Lytechinus pictus: one gene and its partners. The main gene of each other region encodes a partner of the protein of the gene in region 4 in a complex. Links are inferred from orthologs where the notes say so. Each region holds a gene or a part of one and is shown on either strand. Other genes may lie near its edges.

Evidence for each region.
Region 1: U4/U6 small nuclear ribonucleoprotein Prp3-like (region 4) and U6 snRNA-associated Sm-like protein LSm7 share a complex: the UniProt entries of both Homo sapiens proteins name them as parts of the precatalytic spliceosome. The link is inferred for Lytechinus pictus from reciprocal best matches to the Homo sapiens genes PRPF3 and LSM7.
Region 2: U4/U6 small nuclear ribonucleoprotein Prp3-like (region 4) and thioredoxin-like protein 4A share a complex: the UniProt entries of both Homo sapiens proteins name them as parts of the precatalytic spliceosome. The link is inferred for Lytechinus pictus from reciprocal best matches to the Homo sapiens genes PRPF3 and TXNL4A.
Region 3: U4/U6 small nuclear ribonucleoprotein Prp3-like (region 4) and ubiquitin carboxyl-terminal hydrolase 39-like share a complex: the UniProt entries of both Homo sapiens proteins name them as parts of the U4/U6-U5 tri-snRNP complex. The link is inferred for Lytechinus pictus from reciprocal best matches to the Homo sapiens genes PRPF3 and USP39.

Annotation. Positions count from the first base shown.
Region 1 is NC_087247.1:61,093,413-61,100,883, reverse strand, and holds the start of U6 snRNA-associated Sm-like protein LSm7, read right to left. Parts: upstream 3,008-7,471; 5' UTR 2,894-3,007; coding exon 2,888-2,893; intron 1-2,887. UniProt on the Homo sapiens protein: Plays a role in pre-mRNA splicing as component of the U4/U6-U5 tri-snRNP complex that is involved in spliceosome assembly, and as component of the precatalytic spliceosome (spliceosome B complex).
Region 2 is NC_087253.1:7,931,388-7,939,324, forward strand, and holds thioredoxin-like protein 4A, read right to left. Parts: upstream 3,001-7,937; 5' UTR 2,910-3,000; coding exon 2,481-2,909; 3' UTR 471-2,480; downstream 1-470. UniProt on the Homo sapiens protein: Plays a role in pre-mRNA splicing as component of the U5 snRNP and U4/U6-U5 tri-snRNP complexes that are involved in spliceosome assembly, and as component of the precatalytic spliceosome (spliceosome B complex).
Region 3 is NC_087262.1:12,999,785-13,007,795, reverse strand, and holds the start of ubiquitin carboxyl-terminal hydrolase 39-like, read left to right. Parts: upstream 1-4,996; 5' UTR 4,997-5,021; coding exon 5,022-5,292; intron 5,293-6,159; coding exon 6,160-6,232; intron 6,233-6,911; coding exon 6,912-7,006; intron 7,007-8,011.
Region 4 is NC_087247.1:68,145,479-68,152,720, forward strand, and holds the start of U4/U6 small nuclear ribonucleoprotein Prp3-like, read right to left. Parts: upstream 3,012-7,242; 5' UTR 3,007-3,011; coding exon 2,821-3,006; intron 1,565-2,820; coding exon 1,341-1,564; intron 876-1,340; coding exon 785-875; intron 15-784; coding exon 1-14. UniProt on the Homo sapiens protein: Plays a role in pre-mRNA splicing as component of the U4/U6-U5 tri-snRNP complex that is involved in spliceosome assembly, and as component of the precatalytic spliceosome (spliceosome B complex).

The DNA of each region.
Region 1 (7,471 bases), about 7.1 Mb from region 4:
GGCCTTGGCCTTGGGTTGCCATGTCATGGCCTTGGTTGGGGATTGAAGCCTTGGCCTTGGGTATTATATTAAAGCATTGGCCTTGGCTTGGAGGTTTGAGCCAACGAACGTAGAGGGCAGCAACACACAAGCGTGTTGCTATAAGGAAGGTCAACTCGATACGCGCATGCAGCTGAGCTGCGCGCGTATTTTATTGTTCATGCCAACGAAATCAAATGCCGATCCAATACAACAACAAATTAGTAGCGATCAAAAAACGAATATGAAAGAATATGACTACAACAATATCAAAGATAACTTAAAAAATATGTTGAGGAATATACATACATATAAAAACATACTTTGATATTTAAAACTTTACAAATATAAGTTTCAAGAAACTAAAATCATTACCAAATCGGTGATTGTTGTTATCAGCGATTTCACCAGACGGCTGTATTAGGTGATTTGCGTCGAGACGATTTTGTGACCACTCGCAAAGCATTTCGGGATTGAATATAACCACCTTATTTTCTCTGAGCTCTTCGCTGAACCCATCATCACAGTGCAGCTGCAGCGCAGCGCGCAGCCAATACAATGCATCCGATGCATGGGTTGTTTTTTCGCCGTCCATGCCATGGTCTCGGACTCAGAGTTGAAATTTAGACCCGGATTTCGGGGATACAGCGCCTTTATTTCAGATTTATAGACTTAAAAGTCAAATGACATTTAAAATTTGAAATCTAACCTTGAACAATCATCGTTGATAAACATCAGCCCTGAAGCCATTACACTTCAAATCAGGCCAGGCAAATTAGATGTCATTGTCTAAGTTGCTAGATCTATGACGAGTCGCCTGAAGCCCCAGCGCATCATCAACGTCACTAGCTAGCTGCGCGACCGGCCCAGACTCGGCGCACCCAGGCCAGAAAAATGACCTCGATTATTACGGTGGTTGTCTATGCATTTATTAGTGGTGCAGCGAAATTCAGCAGAAGAAAATAAGAGATATGAGGTATCCTCGTCACAGGCTTAATATTCCAAAATGAGGAAAAATGTCAAAATCATGATTATTTAAGCTAAATATTTTCTTTAAAAATGAAAGTAATATTTTTAATATTTATACCCAGAATAACCGATCTAATAATTGTTCATTAAAAAATATTTGAAATTAACAAATGAAAAAAAATCAACTCGACAAATTTCCCAAAACACCACCTTATTTTTTAAAGTGGTCACAAAATTCGAGCGGAGTTGACCTTCCTTAGAGCAACACGCTTGTGTGTTGCTGCCCTCTACGTTCGTTGGTTTGAGCCTTGGCCCTTGGCTTGACTACAAGACACTGTCACTGGCCTATTCCATCCCGTCCCAGGCTCCATGGAGAGTAAGCCTACGTCAGTAAATGACTTTTACTCTCTAGGAGCTTCCAGGCTACCCAAAACATTGAGTCTACCCTCTTGCTACTAGTAGTCGCCGACGTATTATAGCTATGCCAGCTAGTATGGTTACCTTCCGGGCCCCGGCGGCGGCCGGCCCACTTGGCTTAATTCGCAGTCCGGAGCTCTCTGGGTTACAGACACGTTATATTGAGCTACCGTACCGTATGGGCACTAGTATTCAACCCGGCATAATTCAAAGATTTTTACAAATTCCCCCAAATATTTAGAAATAGGGAATTTATCTTAATTTCATACCTCTGTTATTTCCAGGGTAATCTGTTGTCGGTATTTTCTTTATCGATCTGTCGACTGTATGCGCGGAGGATCGAATTATGCGGCAATGACCTTTTGCACTGAATTGCACTAGTATTCAACCTAGTGATGATAGACAGCAAATTTAAAAATGGTTTAGACTGCAATACTAGATCTAGATCTATGTAAGTCTCTGGCTTTGACTAATTCCCTGTTCGGTCTCATCTCAAATGGTCTAGTCCTTAGTTGGATGGGACAAGGACAGATTGAGAGACAGGGCCATCTTTCGTTGCTAGGTTGAATACTAGTGCCAAAAACCATTGCCGTATAATTCGATCGCCCGCACACACAGTCGACTGGTTGAAAAAAAAAAAAAATAACGCAAAAAGAATAACCAGCATTTGGTCTTGGAAATAACACAGGTCTGAAATTAAGGTAGAATCCATATTTCTATATATTTGAGGAAACTCTCCAAACGGGTTGAATACTAGTGCCCTTACGATACCTTACTGAGCTGACTGAGCTGGCTGAGCAGAGCCTGAGGCCGAGCACTCATTCAATGAACAAGGTTATGATATAACCTTGTTCTCAGTTATATCTCCATGTGTGGCAAAATAAGGGTGGCAATGTTTGGCTTATTTTCTCTTTTTCTTTGGGACAAATGCTTGATTTTTTTACACTGACAGTTTCCATTACACTTATTCATCATACAACTTGGCCCTTAAGTAAATTTGATTCTTTACATTATTTTTTTCTTAATTAAAGATAAAAATAATTAGAGATAAAAAAAATATAATTTTCTTGCCATATTACTTTCCACCAATAGAGGGCGTACACAAAAATATGCCCAGAATTCAAGGTTTTGAGCGCCCTAGTGAATACAAAAATTATTCCCAAGTTACTAATGAAAAATAAATTGCAACTGTTTAGAAATTAGTAATTTTGGTCACAAAAGTGATATTTTAATGATTTTTTGAAGTGTGTGCTCTGTACATCATTGGCATGCCATAGACCTACGGTACCTGTACTGTAGATTCCCCACAGGCAGGGATGGTTGCAGTGAACAAGTGAGGCCGAGTAACTTTTTATTCTTCCTTTTTCTTCCTCCTCCAGACTATGTCCTCTTAACAGTCCTATGCCATAAAACTAAGGATTACCATAAAAATTGTCATTGATACTACATATTAGAAATCAGATTAATCATTATTAAAACTTACTGCCATGGATGTTGCTTGGGATCTTTCACCACGACTCTTATTTGTTAGCACCAAGTACAAAGATTCATGTTATAATTTATGCGAATTGCACCGTATATACCGTATACCGTACTGTACAATACCGATACCGTACTACCAACGAACGTAGAGGGCAGCAACCACTGATCTGCTGATCTCCAGAGTTATCAATAGACAGAGTGGCGACACGCGCACTGAAAACAGGATACGCGCGGTCAAAGGTCAGCCATGGGGGGCTGATTAGTTCCCTCTGCGCGCACATGCAATTATTTGGCAATCATCGCTATTATCATAATTGATTGTCGACAAACTAGCCTAGGTCCGGAAGAAATGATAATGAATCTAATGTAATTTCTTCTCTTTGGTTTAGAGCTTCATGATAGATCCCCCATTTTGGTTTGTCTGGCATTATCATTAATATTATTCTAGATGAATTCCACTTTTTTATTGAAAATTAATGTGATGAATTATAGAGACTTGATTTACTCACCGATGAATGAAAAATGGAAATAAAGAGGAAAATAGGCAAATAAGGAATATGGGAACACGAAAAATTAACAAGGTGATGCTGAAGACATAATGGACTGGAAAACTCGGGGGAAGGGGGCAGCAGGGTGACCAGATTTCACAAAATGAAATACGGGACAATCGACAAAATAATCAACATAGAAGGCTACACATGTACAGTGTTATACACTTGTGAAAAAAATATAAAGAATGGGAAGGAAGGGTGAACGAAAGAAATAAGGAGAGAAAGAAAATGCGAAAGAAGGAAAAGATATTAATTGAGAATAAAGAAAAAAAATAAAGGGGAAAATGAAGGAAAAAATAAAAAAAGTTAGAATAAAAGGATGAAAAAGAATAAAAGAGAGAAAAAAGGTTTCCGTCATTCTTTGAAATGAATATAGAAAGAAAGAAAAAGAAAGGGAGGGAAGATGAACAAAAATTAATGTGTGAAAGACGAAATAAAGGAGAGAAAGAAAAAAAAAAGTAAGAAAATTAAAGGAGCGGAAAGATAAATGTTTCCTTCATTCTTTGAAAGAAACAATAAAAGAAGAAAAACAGGAAGGGATCGGGAAGCTAGGGAAGGAAGGAAGAAGGATGAAAGGGAAAGAAAGAATAAGGGAAAGGAATAAGAAGGAAAAAAAAATAAAGAATGAAAGAATTGGGGAGAAAAGAGAGGGAAGAAAGAATGAAGGGATGAAAGAATAAAAAAAGAGAAAATAATGGAAGGAGAAAAAGAACGAAAAGAAAAAAGGAGAGAAATGGAGAAGGAAGCAAAGAACAGTTTAAAGAAAGAAAGAAGGAAATAATAACAAGGAAATTTGATAAAGAATGCAAATAAGAGAAAAAAGCAACGAAAGAAAAATGAACACACAGCGAGAGAAAGGATCATGAAAGAAAGATAAGAAATAAAGATAGATGGAACAAAAAAGTGTCAGCAGCGCGAAGGATAGAATAATGAAGAAAGAAGGATATAAAAGAAAGAAAAGGGAAAAATTCAAACTTCCAGCAAACAAAAACAACCATCTGACAAAAATAATAATTATATATGGTGTGTTTTTAATATAATTTTAAAAACTTTATAAAAAAAGAACTTGCAAAAGTTTAGTAATCGATTATCTATTGGTTATTTGATGAACATTCGTCACTTTTAAATGTATTAACTACATTTTGTTCAATATACTGAAATACGGGAAAAATAGACGTCCCGGGAGGGGTGGGCCGGACAAAGGAGCAAAATATGGGACCATCCCGGGAAATACGGGACGTCTGGTCACCCGGCCTGGGGGCAGTTTTCTTCTTCTGAATCACTGCATTGAAATTTTGTAATCACACCACCGGTATTGTACGTGGAAAATAATCAATTAAGGAGCAAAAAAAGTACAGTGATCACAAAATATAAAGGAAAAGCATATATTTTGACTTTTCAAATGATATGTTTTATTAAAAGTTAAAGCATAATTTAATATAGTCCCCTGACAAAATGGGCTATTGATCTGTGGTGATTTAGGGGGACGGGCCCAGGTGACAACTCCTAGCTTACACTATTTTCACTGCACTGACTGTCAATCAATAATGGAAATAGGAACATTGTACTCGGATCGAATTTCATGATCTCGAATAATTTCAACAATCCGAATATTTTTATGCAAAAATTTAACCAACCTTACCCTTTTTTATGTCACATTAAAATTAACCATTCATCTTGATGTTTTGTATAACGAAAAGGGGAATGTTAATGGTAAGTTATTTATTTTTTTATTGTTGTTTTCATTACTATTACTATTAATATGACGATCAATATTGTCACTATTAATTATTATCATTGAAATCAATATTTTTTGTTATGATCATTGTCATCGTTATAATTACCATCATCATCAGGGCGGCGAATATCCTGCTTTCTTTCTCTCTCTTCTTTTTTAAAGTATACATCCAAAGAATCAAAAGTATTTTATAATGACTTTATGTGGTCATCATTGTAAAGGGGAAGTATTACTAATCAGATATATAACTTCACTTTTCAAAATAGTGATCAGAGATTGCAGAAATCAGCTCTCAAAAATGATTTATTTTCATGCCATATTTCTGCCTTCCACCGGTCCTCTTGCGAGCTCCAGCTGAGTGACGTCACACAATGAGCAGTGAGCAGCTGAGCTGACAGCAGCCCATTGGAGACGATCTTTCCAATCAGCGTTTTTTGCTCTTAGAATTGTTTATTCCTCTTAAGATTGGTCTTGTTATATAGATAAAAGTTTGAATTTACTGAACAGTGGAAAAAAGTGCACATTTAACGTATTTTGGTGACCGATATTTAGCTTAGAATTTTTTTTTTTTTTCAAGAAATATAGGTGAATAAACAAAGCATATTTTCACGTAGAAATCACACTTGCGTCACATTAATATTATAGTCAATATAAAGCATAGACATTCTTCTTTATGACTGAACAAAAATTATGAAATTTCATTAAGTAGCAAAGTCAGGAATCACAAAAAAAACACGGCAATATCCATCGCGAAATGACTGAAATTGCAGTTGAATTGCCGAAGCATTATTAGGAAACAGCGGCGAGCGGACTTTCTTTCATATATCTTAAAAATGCCTTTCTGTTAGGGCGATGGTCTGTGGCCAAATGCGTTGGCCATTGTTTTGTCATGTGCGAGGACCCTGGTTCGAAACTCGGATTTTTTTTTCTGGGTATTTTTTTTTTATTCCTTCCCCGTCCCTACCCATCTTTTTTTTCTCTTTTTATTTTCTTGTGAAATTCTATTCAGACCTGTATTTATCAAATCTTGCTTCTTAATTGCTGCTTTTGATTTTCAAGTTCTTGATTAGATTATTTCTACTCTTATTTGGGATGGGAGGGGTAGAGTTAAAAGTCAAGTCCACATCAACTAAAAATTATTTGAATAGAGTGATTTCCCTTGTTGTTTTTACTCAAAACAGTCATATACACAAAACAATGATATGCAAATTAGAGTTGTCACTCACATCACATTCGTTTCTATTTTTTGTGGCATTTTGTTTTTTATTCTTTGCAGATTTGACGATAGGAAACTCTTCATCTGATCACAATAGGTTATATTTACGGAACTGTTAAAATAGTAATTATATAAATTTGAATCAAAGTTTTTATGAAATTTCCTGCAATATCTTGTTATTTTTCTTTAAATTCAAATGAATTTTTGATTGCGTGGACTTCTCCTTTACTCTTAATGTAGGGAATGCATAGCAAAATTTATCCAGAAACAAAATTGTCTTAGAATATGCAAATCAGTAATTGGACACATGTTCACTTTTCTTTCATCCAGGCCACTTCCTCACATCCACCAGGCTTTCAGTCTGATGATGAACCATCACACAACATTCACAGTGCTTCACAATAAATATTTCACTTCTGTTCATACATGCAATAAATATTGTGGAAAACAAATAAAAGGCGTACCCATATTCAAATACCGTTTAAAAGGACAAATATATTATACCTTTCGAGAAAAATCAGCACGTTAAATATCTGATAACAAAACATAATTATGGGGCACTGCAAGAAACTTATGTTAAATTGCAAATCAAGCGTAAGTCTTAAATTCAAATTCAAGCGTAATAAGGTCGAGTTGCAATCGCAATTCAACTACATGTTTAATCAAAGGACTTTCCCTTGATTTGGGACGTGTGATTGAGTATAACATTTCTCGCAAAATGCCCTAGTAACATTAAAATTGTTCTTTCGTTTTAAATTGTGTGTTATTATTTTTGACAAGCTGTATTCCTGTCCGAGTAAAATTTCTTAGTTCTCTCCAAAACTGTGCTCAAAATTGTTTCCAAGATTGATAAAGCAATTTTTTCTTTTGTATCATTATCATTCCACAACTTGCAAACCGTAGGTCCTGGAAAGAGTGAAGAAAAAAATGGCTATATCCAAATCATAGTAAAAGGACATGATGGAATCTCCCAGATTGAGGTAGCAAGCAGAGACCAGAAGTCACCAGAGTTAGCAATTGTGCAGATCTGTGTGTAGAAGAGAGAAAAAAAGAAATAGTTTAAATAATCAAATCAAAGTA
Region 2 (7,937 bases), on a different chromosome or scaffold from region 4:
ATTTTCTCCATCTTTCATGGGCTCCATCTTTCAAAGAGTTGTGATTGATATGGAAAGCCAGGAATCCAAAAACCTTGACAATCTGTTATAGAGGCGAGCCGCTGCCTCACAAATATGTGTGCTGCTCTGCTTGAAGAATTATGACATTGATGGATTTCCATATTTGAGATTTATCAGATTAATTACGACTCTTTGTGAGATGGGCCCCAGATCCCTCCTCATCTGGTAGCTTTCCATCTTTTTTTACCTTCTTTCCTGGGCCCTGTGACTAAGTTAAAAGCGATTAAAATGAGCTGATTCTATGATTATCATTCAATTTCATTGGCCGAGAGTAAACTTGTTATAGAAAGCATGCATTTGTTATTATAACAAGTCTTTATGAAACATTTCCAGCAAGCTTTTAACATTCACCATTCTGTTCTCATGATCTGTTCCTTACTGTTCACTTTTCTTCTTTCTTTTTTCTATCAGCCAACCTCCCCCCTTTCTTTTTTATACTGATTTTTCTCTCTTGCTGTCTTTCTTGCACTTTCTTTTCTCCATATGTATTCATCTCTCTTCAAGATTAAAGCCACAATCACATTATAAATTACCTACATGTATGACCAACTCAGATTACACATGAACATTCAGTCATTTTTTTTTTGGTTTTCTGTTTCCATATTTACTACAATGTATATAAAGAACATTCATGTTAACAAGTTCAATGTACATTTACACAGTTGTGACTTCTGAATCAATTAATCATGACCAAATAAAATCAAAGAAAAAAAAAAGTTGTAATATTAACTGCTATTCTCCGGGTATCTGAAATACTGGGAGGGGGGGGGAGGGGGTTGCACTTGTGTCAAATAATGGCCTTTTAATACTGACATGTATTCAGTAATTGGAAAGTCAGTCCCACTTTGTTGAACACAAAGAAAATGTTTGGGTACATGTACATGTAGCACAAAAATATGTTCCAGAACTTTATAAAGTTGACGTTGTCCATAACTATTAAAGAGCTTTACACCCCCTCCCCCTTTGGCTTATCAAAAATATGTCCTCTCTCATATTTTCATAATGTCTTTCACGACATCCAATCGGTGGCTTGGATTAAAGGTGGCATGGTGTCATAAAATTGTGACAATGTTGACTTCAGTGAATGAACAATCTGGTTAACAATAACTCTTCAGAAAAATATTGTAAGTTTTGAAACTTGATATGATTTTAACAACAAAATGAACAAATCTCCCTCATGTAGAAAATAAAGATCACCAGGGTCCAAGGGGAACTACATAAAAGTGTCAAGCCTCTAATAAACTATAATACTTCCCCATCCAATATTACATGTACCTGATGATATCTGGGCCGTTTTATAAAGCTGTTCGTAAAGTTATGCACAACTTTATGCATGACTGGAACACGTTCTTAGGCGCTATAAAATCCGTTCATTTAGCGCAAGAAGGGGTCACCAGTCGTGTGTAAAGTCTTATGAACAGCTTTATGAAACGGGCCCCTGTAACACAAGTTAGCGATTAATAGCTACATGTACATGAAATTACCAATCAAGACCATCGTTGCATGCGCAATTTTGCTCGGTAGACTGACTAGGAACCAATCTTTCAAGTTAGCGATTAATCGCTAACCTTTGTACTACAGCAGGCCCAGGAGTGCCATAAACTTAAACATACTACATGTACATAAATGCAAACAATGTCCGACACATAATTAAAGCTGAACGATACACAGGTGACACTACCCAAGTCAAGTGTCTTGGTAACACAGAAATCTGTTGCACTTAACACAGGAGAGACATATTTTTCATATTCAGGAGCCCATTTCATAAAGCTGTTTGTTAGTTACGAATGACTTTACGCACAACTGGTGACCTTTCTTGTGCTACACTATCCACATGTAACTGATTAAGCACCAAGGAACATGTTTCAGTCGTGCGTAAAGTTGTGCGTAACTTTATGAAACACCACCCTGGTTTGAAATTTCTGGAGTTTAATAGGCTTACTTGACTTATTGAAGGTCAAATATGGAGAATGTACTGCAGTGTATCTTGAGATAAAACCTGGGGAGCGTTTCATCATTCGAAAGGACTTGTAAGACGTTTTATCAGACAAGTACTGATTTATCCGACAGTTACTATGTTAACAGTGCCTCTCTTACGATCATAACCAAGGAAAGTTGTCGGATCCGACAACTTGTCGGACGAAAATGTTGATGAACTACTCCCCAGGTGATCGTTGCGATACTGTAAACTGTACATTTGATTCAATATGTGATAGCCCGCAACCCTACTATACAACATAAATCAACAAATTTACCAAAGCTTTGCAGTTCTGGTGTAGCTGAAAAAATAAGAAAATGTTTGAGGAATGATGTTTCGTAAAGGCATGGCACTTGCCAGTATTCATTTCCAAACCAACGTGTCCTCAATCGCTGCCATCCACAAATCCAAACTGTTGGCAACAGAGATGCGGTAGAGGACATTAATAACGGTATTTGGTAGAGTAGTCTTTGGGTGACACCACCAAACCACGTCCTTTCCTCGCGCCCCTGTACACTGTCTCCACAATATCAATAACCTCCTGTTCATCGTCTATAGCCCAGTTGATCTTATTATTGTTACCGGTACCCAGATCTATCATTATATGCTTGTTCCTGAAGAAGAACATCATCGTGCACGGGTCGTACAACTCGTACATCTTGTTAAAATCAGGCACTTTTGTGATGTCAACAAGGTACACCACAGCAAAGTTTTTCACCTTGTCGCAGATCCGGTACAACGTCTCGTCCATCTTCATACACGTCGGGTCCCAGTCGTGACCGAAGCGGATGACGACGACGCGATCCTCCTCACCTAGGATGGCCTGGTCGACCTGCCAGCCGTTGTGGAGATGGCTAAGCATGTAAGACATCTTGGCTTAGTGGTCGTCTTATTTTCTTCAGAATGCAAAGAGATTGAGGAGAGTAAACCCCCACAACGGTTCAGTTGCGAACACAGCGACTGCTTCAGAGAGAGATAGAAAATATGATTTTTGAGGGGTGAACAGCCACAGTTGATAACAGGAGTAAAGACGTCTGTCTTCAGATTATCAAGAAATTCAGGAGAGTAAACCCCCCTGCAAATTACCAAGAAGTCAAAACATGTGAAGCTGCTAGCTCAGGTTTATCTGATGATAGAACTTCCTTCAGATCAAAATCTGATCTCTGAAGCAGGTGTCATCGAGAAGAAGATATGCTTGGAAGACCTGCAAGGGAAATATCAAGAAAATATTTTAAAAGATTACACTTTTTAGCAAATAATCTAGAACGACTAATTTAAAAATAGAAAAAAATCTATGTACCTTTAATCGAAACCAGCTGTACAAGCTTTGTTCGTTTGTCAATAATACGGTCTCCCAAAGTCTAGACCTATACAATGAAAAGATTAGACACTTCAAGGACTTCGCGTAATGCTTTGCGTCGATTTGCGTGTAAAATAGTTAAGGTGCACACCTTAAAGGTCAAGTCCACCTCAGAAAAATGTTGATTTGAATCAATAGAGAAAAATCAGACAAGCACAATGCTGAAAATTTCATCAAAATCGGATGTAAAATAAGAAAGTTATGACATTTTAAAGTTTCGCTTATTTTTAACAAAATAGTTATATGAACGAGCCAGTTACATCCAAATGAGAGAGTCGGTGATGTCACTCACTCACTATTTCTTTTGTTTTTTATTGTTTGAATTATACAATATTTCAATTTTTACGAATTTGATGATTAGGACCTCCTTGCCTGAAGCACAAAATGTTAAAATAATGGAATTCAACGTGTTCAGGGAGGAATGAAACTTCATTTCACATGACAATGATGAGAAAATCAAAATATTTCATATTTCATATAATAAAATACAAAAGAAATAGTGAGTGAGTTATGTCATCAGTTCCCTCATTTGCATACGGACCGAGATGTGCATATAACTGTTTTGTGAAATGAAGCGAAACTTTAAAATGTCATAACTTTCTTATTTTACATCCGATTTTGATGAAATTTTCAGTGTTATGCTTGTTGGATTTTTTTCTTTTTATTCAAATCAAGTTTTTGTTGGGGTGGACTTGTCCTTTAAGACTAGGCACCGGTGCCTAGTCTTTCCCCAGTAGTATACTAATACTAACCTCGCAATATGTGTGAGTGGTCTTTCCCATGTCGTGTCTTTGATATGAATATAAATCGTGCGCCCTCTTTAGGCCAAAAATTGATGTTGTTGCCGTTGGACAGGCAGTTACGTCAAGAGCAAGAAAATATGAGGAACAGGGTGCTAAGAGAGGTCACCAAAGGGACTTTCGTCGATCAGTAAGTGAAATGGAACAATTTGATGATTTTAGATTTCATAATTTCATGCAATCGCATGCCATGGAAGTTGCATGCGGCATGCCTAGATTTTCCCGTGCCCAGCGGCATTAGCCAGGAGGCTTCTACTAGTTCTAGAGAGTAAAAATTATTTACAAACGTATGCTTACTCTCTACGAAGCCAGGGATTCCATCCTATTCATCTGCATGCCGCCAAAAAACTTTCGCCCCCGAGATTTATAGTTTCATTCTATAAAAAGATCTAACTTTGTTAGACCTAATCATGAAATGGGATACAACTTCATTTCCGACATTTCTACGCTATCGATTTATGAAATATGAAAAGACGGAGGAGACTTGCCCGATGTTTACGCCGCCATCTTGTTTCCTATTGTTCTTCCCCAACGTTACTGACGCACGCGTTAAAATGAAAGTTAGTATAGATCTATTACTAACCTCGCACTACTCATATACCGTCCATAGCGCTAGCGTGAGTGGAATGATTAAGACTAAGAGTAGAAAAACTAGAAATCTCGGGGGCGAAAGTTTCAGGAATTCAGGTTTTTTGGCGGTAAAAAACCTAGATCTACAATACATGCATGCAGATGAATGGAATCCCTGGCTTCGTAGAGAGTAAGCATACATTAGTAAATGAATTTTACTCTCGAGAAGCCTCCTGGCTAAGCGGCATGTCATGAACCCTTGAGTGGATCGAATCTCGACTCGAGCTCCGCAACGCAGCTCAGCCTCAGTGCCGTCTCTGGCGACTGGGCCTGCCTGAATAGCGGGGCTCTGGCAGCAGTTACCGCTAAGCAGGCCCGCTGTGCTGCGGCTCAGCTCTGATTGAAGAAGTCGAGTCCTGCGGTTGGGCTTAATATTTTTTCAACAGTGTAATACTCTCAAATTTAATGAAATAAATGGCACACATTGTAGTTTAACACTCACCCTATAATTTAAATAAATTTACAACATGATAGTTACTTACAGGTTACACAGTCAAAGTTTGGACACGGAAAAGCGATAAGTTCCCTCTTCAAGTCTTTTTATGACTATTGACTTGTGAAAATTGTTGCTACATTAACAATGATGATATGATCAGGCAGGCTGGGACGTAGATGGCGCTCGACCTCTTCAAAATCAGACGTGCTCCCTCCTTTTTTCCCCTCGTGTGGTAGCTAGGCAAAATGATCTACCCACAGGGGGGGGGGGGGGGGGGGGGGGGGGATGGGTGGGGTGAGTTACAGGTGTTCAACCCCCCCCTTCAATTTTTTTTATACCCATCTACCCATCCCTTAGAATTCAAACCTTGCTTGTCAATTTTTTGGAGGGGGTAGGAAACGACTTGTGGTGAAGACTCCCCTTCGGGGGGGGGGGGGGGGCGGGTTATCAGCATTTCATTCAGCTTGAACCCCCCCCCTTTTCAAAAATCCTGCATACGCTACTGTCCACCCATTAAAAAAAAGAAAAATAAATAACTTCTGGGAACACTTGAGTAACACAGGGGTGGATTTAGGATCTTCCAAGAGGATCGAGTAGGGCATTTTCCCCAAGGAAAATTTGACAGGCAAAAATTAAAAAAAGGTCCGCACTTGTGTACGAATGAATGACATTTATATCCCCATTAAAATAATTGCTGTTGATTCTTACAGGGTGGGGGGGGGGGGCACACTTGTGAATGCACAACATATTTCATTAAAAAATATTAACTATGACTCTAATTCTAGATCGTATCCTCTCTTTTTATTCCTTCCCATCTATTTGTTATCTCTCTCTATTTTACTCTCCCACTATATTTCAGCGGTGCCATAAAATTTGAAAATTAGTTGAGAGTGAGCTAGACTCCCGTAGGCAAAGTATATAACTTAAGTGTCAAAATGAGTAAGATCAGTAGAAATGGACGGAAATGGAACACAATTTTAGAGAGAGAATGGACGAAAACGAGTGACTCTCACTCTAAATGAGCGAGAGTTGGCAACCCTAATATTTTTTCTTCTCCCTTCCTTCCTCTCTCTTCCCTGACCCTTTCTCGCCTTTCCTGATATCCTCGATCTCTCTATTTGTTCCCCTTTCTCCCCCTCCCTACCCTCAAGGGAATACAACACACCGTTACAACAGAAGCAAGACAAAGAAGACAAGCATGTATTCCATGTGATATTCATCAAATCATTCTATTGATCATTTCTACAGAAATGATTTTAATCGAGAATTTTATCAATTCATACAACAGGACGCATTTTCATACCAATCTGATCACACTCTATACTGGTCATTTATTCCTCCTAAAACATTAGATTTCATGACTTGTCCTTGCTCATTCACCAATTCTTTTTCTGAGAAATAGGGTAAGTTGGCCGGTTGTCTGCATCCACAAATTCACAAAAGATGTATCAAATTAAATACAGGACTTTTTTTTTTACAAATATGATCTCAAAGTAGATGATTTAGAAATTGTCAATTTGAAAAATAGTGCAAAAACATCTAAATGCATATAGAGGTAATGAAATAAATCAGAAAAATGACCTGCTATCAGATAGTAAAAAAAAAGAAGAAAAAAGATCACATGCTATTACTTCTTTACAGACTGATATAATTATATATTTTCAATATCAAGGTGTTTCAAGCTTGCAATTAATGAAAAATTCTTTTATAATAAATTCTATACATTGAAATCTGCCACTGTAGTGTTAAAATTCATTATTTCAACCAAGGTTTATACCACTATATACATATCACTATCAAATTTGAGATTCATTTACAAACAAGATATACAGAGTGGAGAATGAATACACAACAGTAAATTTACATTACATTTCATGTATTGAATACAATTTTCACGACCATTGTACTAAAATAGAAAATGAGGAAGAAAATAAAACTAGCTATGATATTACTAGTTGAGTGAGAAAACATAAATCAATATAAAAAAGGTCGCATGGCATTTCTAAGAGCATGTACACGTGTAAACAGACTGAGACAACTGACAAAAAATACATTCCAACAAAAATACATAACTGGAAAATGTTAAGTTGTAGCATTGCTTACTTGCTAGACTGTGACAATTTGAGTAAAACTCACTCTTATAACTAATTTGATTGATGAAAATGAATATGAATTCAATGCAAATAAACTTAGGATATTTCGTGTGGCTGACTTGAAGATGATGTATCCTTTTCTCTCTACTTACATGTGTTTTCTGACTAATCAAATGATGGTGATAATGGTAATACTAAGATTAAATTTTCATGCTAAAATTAAAGATAAATTCCAGTTGTGGGAACGATCTCAAAATGACTTTTTACAGAATTTAATATAATGATCACCAAAGTGTCTGTTTGTATGAATAAAAAATATGTGCCAAAGGATTCTGGAAGAAATTGTGTAATTGCTGAGAAATAAGCAAAATAAGCGCAGATTCGGTCACTTCTGTCGGGTCTTTATTCCAGCAATAATAATACACTGTCCCACGTGTGCCTATCTGTGTTGGCGATCTTCAGTGTGATCGTTTTTTAGCTAGATATTATGATTTCACAAAGTTCAGTGTATGTAACTGTACCTGATCTAGATCCACAATGATATATCAATACTTTACCTTGGTTTTACAGACTTTCTCAC
Region 3 (8,011 bases), on a different chromosome or scaffold from region 4:
TACACATGGGCGCCAAAAATCAGGTCAAATTTGGGCCCCCCTCCCCACAAAATCTTGGATCCGCGCCTGCATGAGACATGTATATCCTATGACTATTTCTACTGAAATCCTTGCATTTGATTGGCTAATAGCAAAATTGTCAGGGAAAATCCAACTTCATGAAATGCTGCCGAGGCGATCAAAAGGAGACACAAAAGGTTTTATTAGTTTCTACAAAGAAAAACAAGGGGTTAAAATAATAAAAGGGGGGGAATAGAAAAAATATAACAATCACGAGTAGGATCACTTAAAAAATATCGCTAAATAAAGAAGGGAAACCATATTCAATAATAATAACAAAAGAAAAACAGATACAACGTTGCCACAGACATGACAGAGAAGGGGCGTGTGTCCGTTGTTCCCCCAACATAGATTCACGTGAATTTCTCGGAAGAAAACAAAACGAGTCATGAAAATAAACATATTTTTTTCAAAATGATAGAAAAAGAAATTCCTGAACAAATCATGTTGTTGTTTGATCAATTAAAATGCAAAAAGGGATAAGTTTGATTACACTTCTCTTCTTTTCACTTAAAAAAGATAATCTTTTGCATCCCCCCTCTAATTGCCGCAAATTATATTTCATAATAGGTAAGGCCTATACTTTAATGAAAATGCACCTGGGTCGAGTGCAGCACAATGTGGATAAATTTCTTGCTGAAGGTAATTACGCCATGGCTGGGATTCGAACCCACGACCCTCTGTTTCAAAGTCAGAAGACTTATCCACTGGGCCACAAATATTCTCAACAGTAACTTTTTATCAATTCCTCTTTAATTCCAAATTGAATATTTATTAGTAACCATTCGACAAACCAATCTATCAATATTGATCGATCAAAAAACCAAGCAAGCAAGCAATAAATGTACCGATAGTAGAACGTTATTTTATTCACGCTATGTAATTGAAGTTTAGATAATCATTTGTTTAACGCATGCATGCCCTCGAGCCGATCTTTGGCCTTCGTTATACACCTGTATCCGTAGGATGTACACAGTAGTTTAGTAATAATTGTATCATGTACATCAACATCAACAAGATCTTCTAGCCATTCACAAGCAATATTCTATATATATATATATATATATATATATATATATATATATATATAAAATTCTCCTGGCTATCATTTCGAGAGATAGGGGCCTATCAAAATCCAGAATTTATTCTTAAAATAACAATAGGCCTAAATATCCCGAAAGAGGTGGATTTGATAACAATTTTTTTTTTTTTTTTTTTTTTTGGGGGGGGATTTTTATCTTATTGATCGATTAAACATACCGAATCATTACACAAATGGACAAATCAAACCCGGACAATTATTTCCAGAGAGTAGAGTGTGCCAGAACAAGGACACTCTCTCAAATTTGCCAAGCAATGACGATCTAGACTGGATATAAGGAAACACTTCTTTAGCCAAAGGGTTGTCAACCAATGGAATAAAATCCCACAGTCCACAGTTGAGGCACCAACACTCCTGCAATTTAAGACACCATTATCAAAATTGGGTTTTTAAATGGGCTCTAAGAGCTAGCCTCCTTAAAACCATGCCACACTCATCTGTACACGGCTCGTCGTGAAGACAGTGAGATGTGGCCATCTAGGTAACTTCAAGGTAACTTCAAGGTAAACCACATTGTTTCAGTTGACAAGACCCAATAAATAAGAAAATTTACAATTAAATATTTCCAAGGTGTCATTTTCTATATAAATTTTGTACCGAGTCCGGAATCTGCTATTTGGGTCCGGTGTTGCCCAACGATTGCAAAACTGTTTCTGGAGCATAATTATGAATTCCATAAAATATTTGGGTCTTTGTGAAACTTTTCAAGGAAAAGTATACGTACATGTAAATGTCATTTTCTGAGCAAGTGCAAATGCTTGGAGATCGATCATTTTGAGTCATCCTTGATTGTAGTCATAGTAATTAAAATATATTTGGACTCTATCTCTGCCAACACACCAAATGAATAGATAAACTGGGGCGGTATTCTGAAAACGTTCTTATCTTAATTTTGTTCTTATCTACGTCACGTTCTCAAATTGGTATTCTGAAAACGTTCTTATCTTTTTCTTATCTTTTGTTCTTATCTTTTTCTTATCTTGCTTTCCATCGATGCTGAGCGCGTAAATTTATAATTCGCGCATATGATACAAAAGCGCGCTAAAAGATAAGAACAAAATAAAGATAAGTGGTATTCTGAAAACGTTCTTATCTTTTATCTTTCTTATCTCTTTACGATATTTATGATAATATTTAAGATAGCTAGAGGGTTATCACATCTCAGGATGTCCGCGTTCTTTCTTTCTCAAAATCGATGGCCACTGGTAGTAACAAGTATTCTTTCCACCCTTTCTTTAATTCACCCTTTATTTTGCCCGTCTCTTTTTCTATCTCTTATTTCTTTCTGTATTTATTTTCTCATTTTCTTCATTTCTGTTTGTCTCTCTTTCTTCCTTTCTTTCATTGTTTATTTATATCTCTTGTTTTATTCTTTTGAATCTTTTCTTTTCTTCCTTATTTTTCTTTGTTTTCCTTTTTTCCTTTACTAAGTCTTTATTTTCCCCCCTCTTTCTTCTTTTCTTTCTTCCCCCTTTTTTTCCTTCCTTCACTTTATTTTTTTTTCATTATCTTTTTTATTTCTTCATTCTTTTTCTTTCTTTCATTCATTCTTTCGTCTTTATATTTGTTTTATTTATTCATTTTGTTTGTTCCTTTTTTCTTCCTTCCCTTAATTTTTTATTTTTTCCTTATTTTTCTTTGTTTCTCCTTCTCTTATCATCTTTTCTTGTTATTTTTTATTCTTTTTTTTCTTTATTCTTTCCATCAATCTTAATTCGTTTCTTTTTTTTTCATTCATTCTTTATTTTTCCCGCCTTTTTATTTTCCTTTTTCGTTCTTTTTCTTTATTGCTTTACCGTTCGTTCCTTCAATCTTTCTTTAGTCTTTATTTTATCTTTAATTATCCTTTCATCTTTTCTCTTTCTTCCTTTTTTCTTTCTTTCTCTCCGAGTCTCTCTCTCTCTCTCTTTCTTTATTTCTGGTCTATTTTCCTTTTTTCTCTCTTCCTTTACTTTTTACAGTTTTTTAATTCCTTCCTTTTTCTTTTGATTACTTTCTTTCATTCGTTTTTTTTTTCTATTTCTCTTAAGGTTATTGTATTCTTTCATTTTATCCTTTGTAATCTTTTTATTTTGTCCCTTTTGGTTTTTTTTTTGTAAAGTTTCTTTCTTTTTCCTTCTTTATTTTCTTTCATTTTTTATTCCTCTTTTTATCATTAATAATCGTTCTATTCATTCCTCCTTTTTCTTTCTTTTATTCATTCTTTATTCTTTCTTTCTTTTCTTTTTTTTTAAAGTTCTTTTTGCTTGCTTTCTTTTGTTTACCTTTTCTTTTTTTCATTGTTTTCTGCTTTGTTCCTTTCATATTTTTTTATTTGTGCTTCATTCTGACCCTTTACTGTCTTCTTTTTTTTTAATTTTTTATTCGTATTTGCTTTATTTACCTTTTTTCTTTAATTTGTTTCTTTATTTTGTGCACGTGTCTCGAAATAATAATCAGTCATTGCGTATAAAATGCCTATTTCGCGCAATGTGCCACAAACAGTGTACGCGCAGCGCCCATGATATTCTCTTCACACAAGGAACGCTTCTATTGGTTAAACTTACAATATAACACGCATTTTGATTGGTAATATCCTAAAAATGGGCGTGTTGAAGATAAGAAGGAGGCAGTCCTTACAGAGATAAGAACGCGTTAAGAAGATTTTCAGAATAATACCAACGAACGTAGAGGGCAGCAACACACAAGCGTGTTGCTCTAAGGAAGGTCAACTCCGCTCGAATTTTGTGACCACTTTAAAAAATAAGGTGGGGTTTTGGGAAATTTGTCGAGTTGATTTTTTTTCATTTGTTAATTTCAAATATTTTTTAATGAACAATTATTAGATTGGTTATTCTGGGTATAAATATTAAAAATATTACTTACATTTTTAAAGAAAATATTTAGCTTAAATAATCATGATTTTGACATTTTTCCTCATTTTGGAATATTAAGCCTGTGACGAGGATACCTCATATCTCTTATTTTCTTCTGCTGAATTTCGCTGCACCACTAATAAATGCATAGACAACCACCGTAATAATCGAGGTCATTTTTCTGGCCTGGGTGCGCCCAGTCTGGGCCGGTCGCGCAGCTAGCTAGTGACGTTGATGATGCGCTGGGGCTTCAGGCGACTCGTCATAGATCTAGCAACTTAGACAATGACATCTAATTTGCCTGGCCTGATTTGAAGTGTAATGGCTTCAGGGCTGATGTTTATCAACGATGATTGTTCAAGGTTAGATTTCAAATTTTAAATGTCATTTGACTTTTAAGTCTATAAATCTGAAATAAAGGCGCTGTATCCCCGAAATCCGGGTCTAAATTTCAACTCTGAGTCCGAGACCATGGCATGGACGGCGAAAAAACAACCCATGCATCGGATGCATTGCATTGGCTGCGCGCTGCGCTGCAGCTGCACTGTGATGATGGGTTCAGCGAAGAGCTCAGAGAAAATAAGGTGGTTATATTCAATCCCGAAATGCTTTGCGAGTGGTCACAAAATCGTCTCGACGCAAATCACCTAATACAGCCGTCTGGTGAAATCGCTGATAACAACAATCACCGATTTGGTAATGATTTTAGTTTCTTGAAACTTATATTTGTAAAGTTTTAAATATCAAAGTATGTTTTTATATGTATGTATATTCCTCAACATATTTTTTAAGTTATCTTTGATACGTTGTAGTCATATTCTTTCATATTCGTTTTTTGATCGCTACTAATTTGTTGTTGTATTGGATCGGCATTTGATTTCGTAGGCATGAACAATAAAATACGCGCGCAGCTCAGCTGCATGCGCGTATCGAGTTGACCTTCCTTATAGCAACACGCTTGTGTGTTGCTGCCCTCTACGTTCGTTGGTGAATACCGATTTGCAATGATTTTAGCGTCTTCTTATCTCATTGAGATAAGAACAAAGATAAGAACAAAGATAAGAACGTTTTCAGAATACCACCCCAGATGTATAATAATACTAGATATATTATTTGGAATTTTCACACTGAGTATACAAAATAACATAATCTGTACAAACGCGAACGGCGATGGCGCTTTTGTACTTGTCAAAGAAAAGATGGCGACTTCCACGCAGAATGCGAAAAGACCCCTCGTCGATGCAAGCTATGATGACGATAGTGATGATGATTACGGTATCTATTCTTTGAGTTTATCATCTTTATTTTTTATATTTAATTTAAAAAAAAATTCACCAATAGTATCATTCATATCCTCGGAAAGCCATTATTAATTTAACGTTTAGATTCACTTTGGTCCCACTCCATTATTTTTCAAGTTGGCTAGTGCAGCTGTTCACATTGCAATTGAATTGGGCGCTAATGCAGTTTCGCACCACTCTAGAGTCTAGGCAATTTGCCTATTTAATTTCGTGTTGAGAAAGTGAGTCAAACGGGTGTGAGTTTGGTCGTTAAATGCCAGCCAAGTCCTCTAAATTTCGGTCTTACTTCTTCTTTGACTGTCTGTCATATTATTAATTATTATTATATTAATCTACGATTATGAATTATGATATTGATAATTGATATAAAATCGGTAGGCCTACTCGCCATTTCTTTTTTTGAAAAATTTGGTGATTTCATCCCCTCTTCTGGCCAACTCTCGCGACGGCTGTTGTCGCAATAGGGTCATGTACATGCAAATCCAAGGCGAGTTGTCACCTGACGCTCGCGAGTCTCTACTCTAGTCTAGGCTTATTGGCCTTTATTATTTTTTTGTCATAATTTTACAATGATGCTTATAAATATTGAAATCTGTAGACGAGTCTGTGCAGGGGCATAACAGGGGTATATATTAAGAGGGGACACAGCACATGCCCTGGTGGAAAATAAAAGTTATGTAATGTAACTTGTAAGTCCACAGTGAGCAAATAGAGCAAGAAAAAGATTTTCATGAGAATCTAACTTTGAGTTTGAGATAGATTTTGACAACGTTCTTACATTTTTTACATGCATGTGACCAACTTGTGATGAAATATACTTTTTCTTTATTTCATTCAACAGTTCCGTCTAAGATTCCAAAGCAACAAAGAGAAGACAAGAGCAGAAGTTGCCCCTATCTGGACACCATAAACAGGTGTGAACTACAAAAGGAAACACGGCTGGAGTGACAAAACTTTGGTTTAAGAAAAGTCAAAGATATGGCCTGCATAGCTCTGTTATCCTTTGGATAGTCTTCCCATTGACATTGTGTATATATAATGAATTTATATTCAGATAGAGATGGGGCAGCATCACTTGCTACATTACATGTACATGTAACTGTGTCATGCTATTGATATAGAAAGAAAATGATTTATTTCACCTTTGTGACAAAAGAGTGAATTGATACACTAACTTGGACTCATTTCACTAAATGCCAAATTCCTATTTTATCTAACAACATTTAGTCACAATCATGAATCGAGACAATTGTCTTTCCGTTGATGCCCACAATCAAAGTGTTGATTATTATGGCAAGGTGAAAAAAGTTGACTTGACCTTGTCTGCGATATCCTACTTTACTGTTAAAACATGTGATTTTTTTTTCTTCAAGGAAGAATAACAGAAAGTGAATGAAGAATGAAGTGTAAAATGAAACTGTGTTGTATATATGTAGTCCCTGGTAGAGCTATATAAAGTATTTATAAAAATGAAAGGTAATAAACAAGGACTTGCAATCTAACATAGTAAATGTAAAAATATGTTTTACAGGGTGAGTCCTAATGTGTGCTTTTTATTTTCACAGTGTTGAATTTGTTATTTCTGTCATACAGGAGCTTGTTGGATTTTGATTTTGAGAAGCTCTGTTCAGTCTCCTTGTCTCATTTGAATGTGTATGCCTGCCTTGTTTGTGGAAAATACTTCCAAGGTAAGAAAACCCATATTTTATCTGTATTTTTACTGTTTTAAAACCTTAGTTATCTCTTTAGATTAAAAAAACAATGTAGTTTAGAAAAATTAATCTACATTTTAGTGTAACACGCGGAAACTGATGTAGAAAGATGACACACGACACCATTCCTTGTGTTTCGGTTCGTTTAATATCGATGAATCGTTACATACAAAATTCAAAGTACAAGAACAAAAGATAGAAAAAACCTGTAAAAACCAATAAGAACAAAACCATTAAATAGAATTATATGTTTAAAAAAATGCACAGAATAGAAATATACACATATTTGCTTGTGACTCTAAGATAAACATTCATCAATATGACGTCAAGTGGACTCGTAATAATAAATGATAAACATGTTTTCTATATCCATTCATTAAACTTAATCAATATTGCCTGAATCCAACTCATCTAATCACAAATTCAGTTCCTCCATCGTTATGGATAACTCTTCCAACAAATAAATGAAATACATCCATCAAGTGAAATTTACCAAACAATAATTAGAATATGCCAACAAATTAACATTGAAATACAGTGGTTAATGAATGATAACCACTCACCCTGACAATCTGGCCTAGAGGACCATATTTCCTCTGGTGAGAGCCTCACCCGCTACACGAATGTCATGTCAAATACCTTTAAAAGGAAAGTAACAATTATTACACATAGTAAGCAATCATTGTGACCCTTTACTCTGAAGACACAAAACTGAAACATTGAATTAACAATTCAATAACCAAAATCAATTTAACCAAAATCTTTCACTCTAAAGATCATTTTACTAAATCGTTTCACTATAAGATTAGAACCGAACACATTTTATGTTTACAACTACATACTACAATCAAGTATACAAGTACAAGTAATTATACAAAATATAACAAAATGACATAAAAATCATCTGAAGTAACAAACACAGATGCATAACTAATAAACTATTTAATTCACAAAACCCCTTTAAAATAAGACGGATAACAT
Region 4 (7,242 bases):
GCTCTGATGTTAGCCTTCACATTGGACAGTATAAATGGGACAAGAAAAGTAATATAATTTTATTTTAAGAATGCACAAAAAACTTCTATTCACATTCACTATTTCACAGTCTAAAACATTTTCATCCTTTAAAACATGCAAGAGTCTATTTGAATGATAATGAAAGGTATAGAGACAGTGAATTTCCATTTTAAAAAATGGTATTTTCCATGTCTGAAAATCTGTAATTCCGTTTCAACTTGATCTAAAAATGGAAATTCAGTTTTGTCACTGAAAATGTATACAGCAAAAACCTAAATTCCATGAATTTTTACATAAAAAGTGTAAGAACAAAATGGAATTTCCTTTTTATTTACCAGTATAATGGAAAATGACTGTCCCTACAGGTATCCAAACTCTAAAGTAATAAATTATTTATCCTTTGTTGAAAGTGGAAAAATACAAAAATCATTTTACTCTTCTTCTGATTATGAGTAATAAAGTCATCATTGCTCTTAACATGATTTTTTTTCCTCCAGAAGAAAATCAGAATAATCAAGCATACATGTAGCTTACATTGTGTTCCCCCCTTTTCAATTACTTTTCTTATTAAACTTTATTCAATTGAATAGACTGAAATATATATAACATATCTTCACATATCTTTAAAACTCTCTGCACGATGTTTCATTTCATTTGACAAGCCTACCACATACATGTACATAAAATAAAAACAACATTACCCTTCTCATCAAGTTGTACATTCTATGTATCAAAGATAAAACGTAAATTGTGGAAGCTTTACCTTAATTGTTGGTCTGTGTTGCGGTAGTATGATAACACGTCCTGATTTATCAATTGTTCTACCTTGATCATCAAGAATCAATGGTGCTGGTCTAAGCACACAAAAAAAGAAAAAAGAATAATTAATATGAATAACCAGAATCTCTTTGAGAGGATCAGAAAATGTTTTATCACTTTGAGCTTATTATCATTCAAGGGGGAGAGGGCATGGCCCTGGGAAGCAGGGTTACTGAAGCACCCCCAACATTTTCCTTGGGGGTGCTGTGTGTATTATTCTCCACAGGCAGCACCCTAAGGTATTCTGAGAGATGTGTAAAAATTGAAAAATGTAACCAAAATTAACTTAATTTTTTGTGACTTCCATTTTGTAGAGAAACTTTTTTTTTTTTACTTTTCAAACTTACATCAGCACCTCCACTTACAAAATCGTTCCCAGGGCCCTGGGAGGAGGGGTAAACAAAGGATTGTTTGAGATATGATTTATTTTTAATCTAAAACAGAAAAATACAGAATCATTCAATATGAGAGAAAGCTATTGATAATTATTGTTTGCTCACTTAGTGAGAACAGCTGGTGGTGGTTTAGTCTGACTGGTATCTTCTTTAGGAGCTGGTACTTTAGGTATTGCAGGTGCTTGTGGTATTCCAGGCATAGGTGGTAGTTTCAAACCACCTAACCCAGCACTCATCATAGTTGCCTGTATGCGTGCTTGTATCTCAGCAGCTTTCTTGGCTTTCTCCAGAGCATCATTTCTCAGAGCCTCGGGCTGACTCTTTGAAAACTGTGTCAGGTAAAATACATTCATTTAATTAGTTCCAAGTACTTTCCTTACTTTAGTAATATAGCAGGACTTAAGTCTAATAATCCCAGGTTATTTTGAGTCCTTATTATGCCCCCTAAGATCTTGGTCTCAAATCATGTGACCATGACAAAAAAATTTGCACAATGGTAAAATATGATGTTATCTTATGTTGCATAGCTAAGCTGGATTTATTGCTAAAAATGTTACAAAATATGTCAAAAAAATTATAACATACACGTTTTAAATGAGGAGTGGTCCCATGGGACCAAAATTGTGTTTTGGGCGGCACTTTCTCAATTTTGTAACGATTTTTCATGAGGTATCATGCTCAGAAGAACAACCTTCTTAATTTAAGCTGATGCCCTTTAGCAAACTGAAACATCACTATTTTATAGCCTACTTCTACTGTAAAAATTCATCAGGGAAAATATTAATTTATTGAACTAATGAAGCAGGCAGATGATCTTTTTTTTAAAATTATTATTATAATCAAACACATAAACAACATATACAAACAATAGGATAAGGAGAGTCACATGGATGCCGGGAAAGGAAAAAGATTAACTAAATAACTATAACCCGAAGGTCTTCCAATCCATGTGACTTTACAAAGATAACATACATGTAATACAAAATAGTAAAATACAACTATACAGTTGTTGAAGATGACAACAAATTATATTAAATTATATTAAATTAGATTAGATTAGAATCAAATAAAGAATAAAAAAGAAGTAGGTTTGCATGGTGGAGTTTATAATGTGGAGAAGGCTTACGGTTCACAATGTTTAATATGAAGAAGGGAGAGGAAATACAGGCAGAAAATTTAAATGGAAAGACGAGAAAGGATGAAAAGAGGAAATTAGAGGTAATCTTTTCTTGAAAGTGAGTAAAGTCCTGAAAAAGGACTGTAAACTAGATGAGATGAGCTGAATATGGCTTGAGTATTGATGGTTTGAGTAGTAGCAGGTTGAAGTGAAGACTCCTGAAGATGGACAGTCAACCTGCCCGAAACGTCGAGTAACCTCTCTTCACTTCAACCTGCTACTACTCAAACCATCGCTACTCAAGCCATATTCAGCTCATCTAATCTGGTTTACAGTCATATTCAGGACTTCATTTGAATAGAATGTTAAAAAATCCCCCAGTAACATACATGTAAAATATGGTAATCACGTAACAAAAATTATAAGGTAAATTTAAGGAATGTATTGTTTCCCACAGCTTATTGTTACCTTGACTCCATTCTCGTCTTCACCGGGAAAGTGAGAGAATTTAGAACGCTTCTTGTGTCCCTCATATCCATCATCATCTTTACTGGTTCTCTTTGAAGCTTTACTTCCACCTTGAAAACCTGCTACATCTGCAAATAGGGTCTCCACAAACCTCTCAGCCGAGTCTTCCAGCAAGGGCTTTAACATATCTTAATAAAAAAAGAAAGGAGATTTTTTTTTCTAATCAGACACGTAATGACCAAAAATTTTACATCTGCAATAGGTTACAGAGATAAAATAGTGAAAAATTTTAAAAGGCATTTCAGAAACATGTAAACTTGTAAAGGCATCCATTACAGTCTCCCTCATCAAATCCTCTGAATTGTGTATAAAATGAATGGTTCAGCAGATATGGGGCTTCAATGTTTTTCAATTTAAAAAATATGAGAGACTTCAGTTTCAGATTTTCAGAAGAAATTAATTTATTTTGTTTGAGCTCTAGACTTCATCTTTGACAAATTTTTTGCCACACTTACATGTACTCTTGAGCTGTTGAGATCATAAGGAATGTCAGATTAGCCATAAAAGCCGCTTGATGATGAAAGACAACATTGCAACAAAAAATGTAAAAAAAGCATTCCCAGATTGTCAGGGAAAATCAAGTTGTGTTTCACATAGATCTTGAAACTCGAATGATGAAAAATAGGAAGACATTTCACAAATATTTTATATAGACTCTAGACTAGAGCTCATAATGTATTAAAAAAATATTAAATGGACGACATTGCTGGGTGCTTCATTGCATGAGGACTAGTATATGCATCACTCAAGGGTTCATTGCATTACATGCCGCCGCGCACAGAAAAATCAAGCCATAGAAGTCGTGTGTTGTGCACGCCAGAAGTGACGTCGCAGCATGCACGACCCACTAACTTTAGAAATCCACTGCCAAACGTGGTTCTTTGTGCAAGGTTAGAATAGTAACTAACCTTGCACTAGTGCGAGTGGATATGCATAGACTCTACAGTAGTACAACTGTTTTGTGATCTTGAAGTGAAACTTCAAGTGAAATCTAAAATCATCACAACGTTCTTATTCTACATTCGGTTTTGATGAAATATTCAGGGTTTTTACTTTTGTAGACATTAGATTTGTCTCTTTTCATTCGAATCCATGTTCTGCTGGATGGGGTTGAATCGTCCATTCAAACGGAAGTTGTTGATCTAACTTTTAGATCTACACATATCCACACAAAGCAATACTGCCAATATACTCTTGAACCCCCCACCCCCAGGCCAGGAGGCTCCTGGAGATTGAAGTCATACCAATGACGTGCTTAATCTCCATGAAGCCAGGGACGGGATGCCATTGCACTACACGCACCAAGTATTTTGCCACCAATAATGCTAAAATATTCCTCACGCTAGACCAGTTGAAGTGGGATCTAGGACTGAGGTAAGATTTATGATATTTATCGGCCGATGCAAGTATTTTACTCGGTGCGTGTAAGTGCAATGGTATCCTAGACCAAAAGCTTCAGTCTCTGTTTTATTGAATGTTCTGCTGAACTTTGTTGGCTCCACTCACCAATTACAGAGACTGAAGTTCTAACTTTATCTGTACAGGGACTCAATGGCCATATGTTTATGTATAAAGTTCGGATAAACCAGGGAAGTGGGAGTTGCGCGACAGCCGAAGTAGGTCACTGTTTTTTTCCTGTTAGGTTTATTTTTTCCATTTTGGTGCATTTAAGGCCAAAATGGAATATTAATCTTTATTTTGGTCCAGTTCTTTTTATATATTTTTATGAAATAAAGACAAAAATCGAAAACCCCCGTTTTATTTTTTTTGGTATTGTTGACCCCCTAATGGCGGCTGCACGATCGCGAGACTTTAAAAAAATCTGAGCTAGAAGGTCACACTTGTCACCTGTGTCTGTGATATGTTACAAAAATGAAGCCCAGAAAAAAAATGCTTCAAAAATTGAAATATAAAGTGACCGAAAACACCATCTTAATTTCATCCCATACACTTATGTGTACTATTTAGGCGTCTATAAGACGCCTATTTACAAAATCGGGGTTTGCCTTGTAGTTCTAGCTTTTCATTCTCAATAATGGTTGTTTTCAGGGTTTATTAGTTCTAATACATGCACTTGTACACATGTATCATCTTGGTTTGAGAATTTTTTAAATCGGCTGCTCACAAAGTTAAACAATACCTTTAAGCACGCCAGTGGTTAGACAGGAATAACCGTCGTTTCTGGGGATTTATTTAACAATTTCTGACATTTTACTATCATCCCCATTCACCGACGGTAGTACGTTAGTGCGAGCCCTCATGTGTAATCCAGAGCTTCCGAGTCTCCCGGATCCTGCGGAAGAATACTGGATTGCCATCCAATCTCCCATTCTCCCGACCCCATGCCAAAATCTCCGGGATAATCAGGATTTTTAGCTGTTAAATTGTAAAATTCATACAAACGACTGTTTTACGAGTCTAGCATTTTCAACTCCCTTACACCCACGTGGATCCTCCTTATCACATTTTCATTTTACCCAGTAAATTTTACCAGTTTTTGTATACTCGTACATTGACTTCCAATGTAAATGAAGATAACTTTACTGAACGACTGGTGAATTAGTCTAACTTGCCATTTTTTTTCTGGTTCTGCAATGTGTGTGATGGAAACACTTCAGCGGCACTCCATGCACATGCCCCCCGATGCGACCCTGCCTGGTCTCCAGCCGGCCGCGCCGCGCCAGGAGGCTATGAGAAGGGAAGTCCACGAGCACTGCGAGGCATTTTTCATACGCTTGTGTGCGCTTTATTCGAGCTGAAACTGTGGATCAACGATGGGATTTACAAGTGGATTACTATTATAACTACACCCCGACTTTCACTTTATTGACAATCCTGAAGAACAGAAGCAAAGTTGAGAATTTTTCGCCTACTTTCACTTGGGTTGATCGGATTCGAACATTTTCTCTTTCGTGAGTGAGCTGGCCTGGCGCTGGCTGGCTGTGCGAAGCACGCCCGTCCCGATTCATCCACACTACAATCGCATCGTCAGTGACCATGGAGATGGAGTCATCCAAGACCAAGAATACAAAATACTTTTCGAAGTATAAAGATAATTTTCAAGTGGAATGGGACTGTGTGACAAGATCAAAGAGAGGAGAGTATCATGCTTTTTGCTCAGTTTGCTTGGTCGATGTATCTATAAAGTTTTGAGGAAGAAATGACATGCCTTCGACACATTTCTTCTGATAAGCACAAGGAGATGGTTAAAGTGAGGTCATCGAGTCAGGGCATCCAGAGCTTTTTCAGGTAGGCTAATTTTCTTGTCGATTTTAGAACTGATTACGAGCATTTATCCCATGTACAAGGTTATGATAACCTTGTCCTCAGAAACCACTGTGTGGTGAAATTACATGAATAAGATTGTCAATGTTTTGCTTTTTTTTCTCTTGATCTGGAATGAATAAATACTTTATTTTTTGGCCCAAAACTCAATTGAATTCTTGAAATTAATTTTTTCTAATTAAAAAAGAGACTAGAAAGTCAAAAGGGGCCTAAGCTTTCGATCATAGCAGAATCTTCGTCGAAGGCAAAATGAGCATCATTTTGCCTCTGACGAAGATTCTGCTAGGATCGAAAGCTTAGGCCCCTTTTGACTTTCTAATTTACTCCATTGGCTCTCTTTTATTAGATAAGCAGTTTTCAGCAGCTTCTTTTTGCCATTAAAAAAGAGACTGTGGAGATGGAGATCTGCATCAATTTCAGTTTTTCACCAAAAGAGGTCGTCACAAAAATATACTCAAAATTTAAGTTTTTGAGCGCTCTGGTGAATAAAAAAATGGTTCCTACACTGTAAGTCTATAATGAAAAAATCATAACTGAATGGAACTGGGTGTTGTTTTTTACAAAAGTGATATTTTAAAGACTTTTTTTTGTGTGTTTGTATGTTGCATAGACTCACCAAAGACAGGGTGGTTGCAGAGTGCAAGTGGTCTGAAGAAAGGTTGGAAAACAAGTATGAGGCACTAAAATAATTTTTAAGCCTCTACTTTCCGTTAACGGCAAATCCGACAACTGATCTTATTTCCTCCTTCCAGTTGTTTTGATTGTTAGACAGTGCACACTGTATTACTTATCCAAGGCTCGACATTAGCAGTGGCCCGGGGCCACCAGAAATTCACCTCGGGCAACCATCATTAAAAAAATGTTAAGTTTTGGTGGCCTGAATCGGGCAACCAATAATTTTCAAAGGAGCGCAATTTTTCTCCCGATTTTGCACGCATTTATCAACTTTCTACAGTTCAAATTGCAAGCCAATTCGTCATGCGCCCTTTTTGTTAATCTACACAAATACACACACACAAAGATTGCATAGTCATGACTGTATGTAGGCCTACCGCTATAGCATACAGTAACTATTAT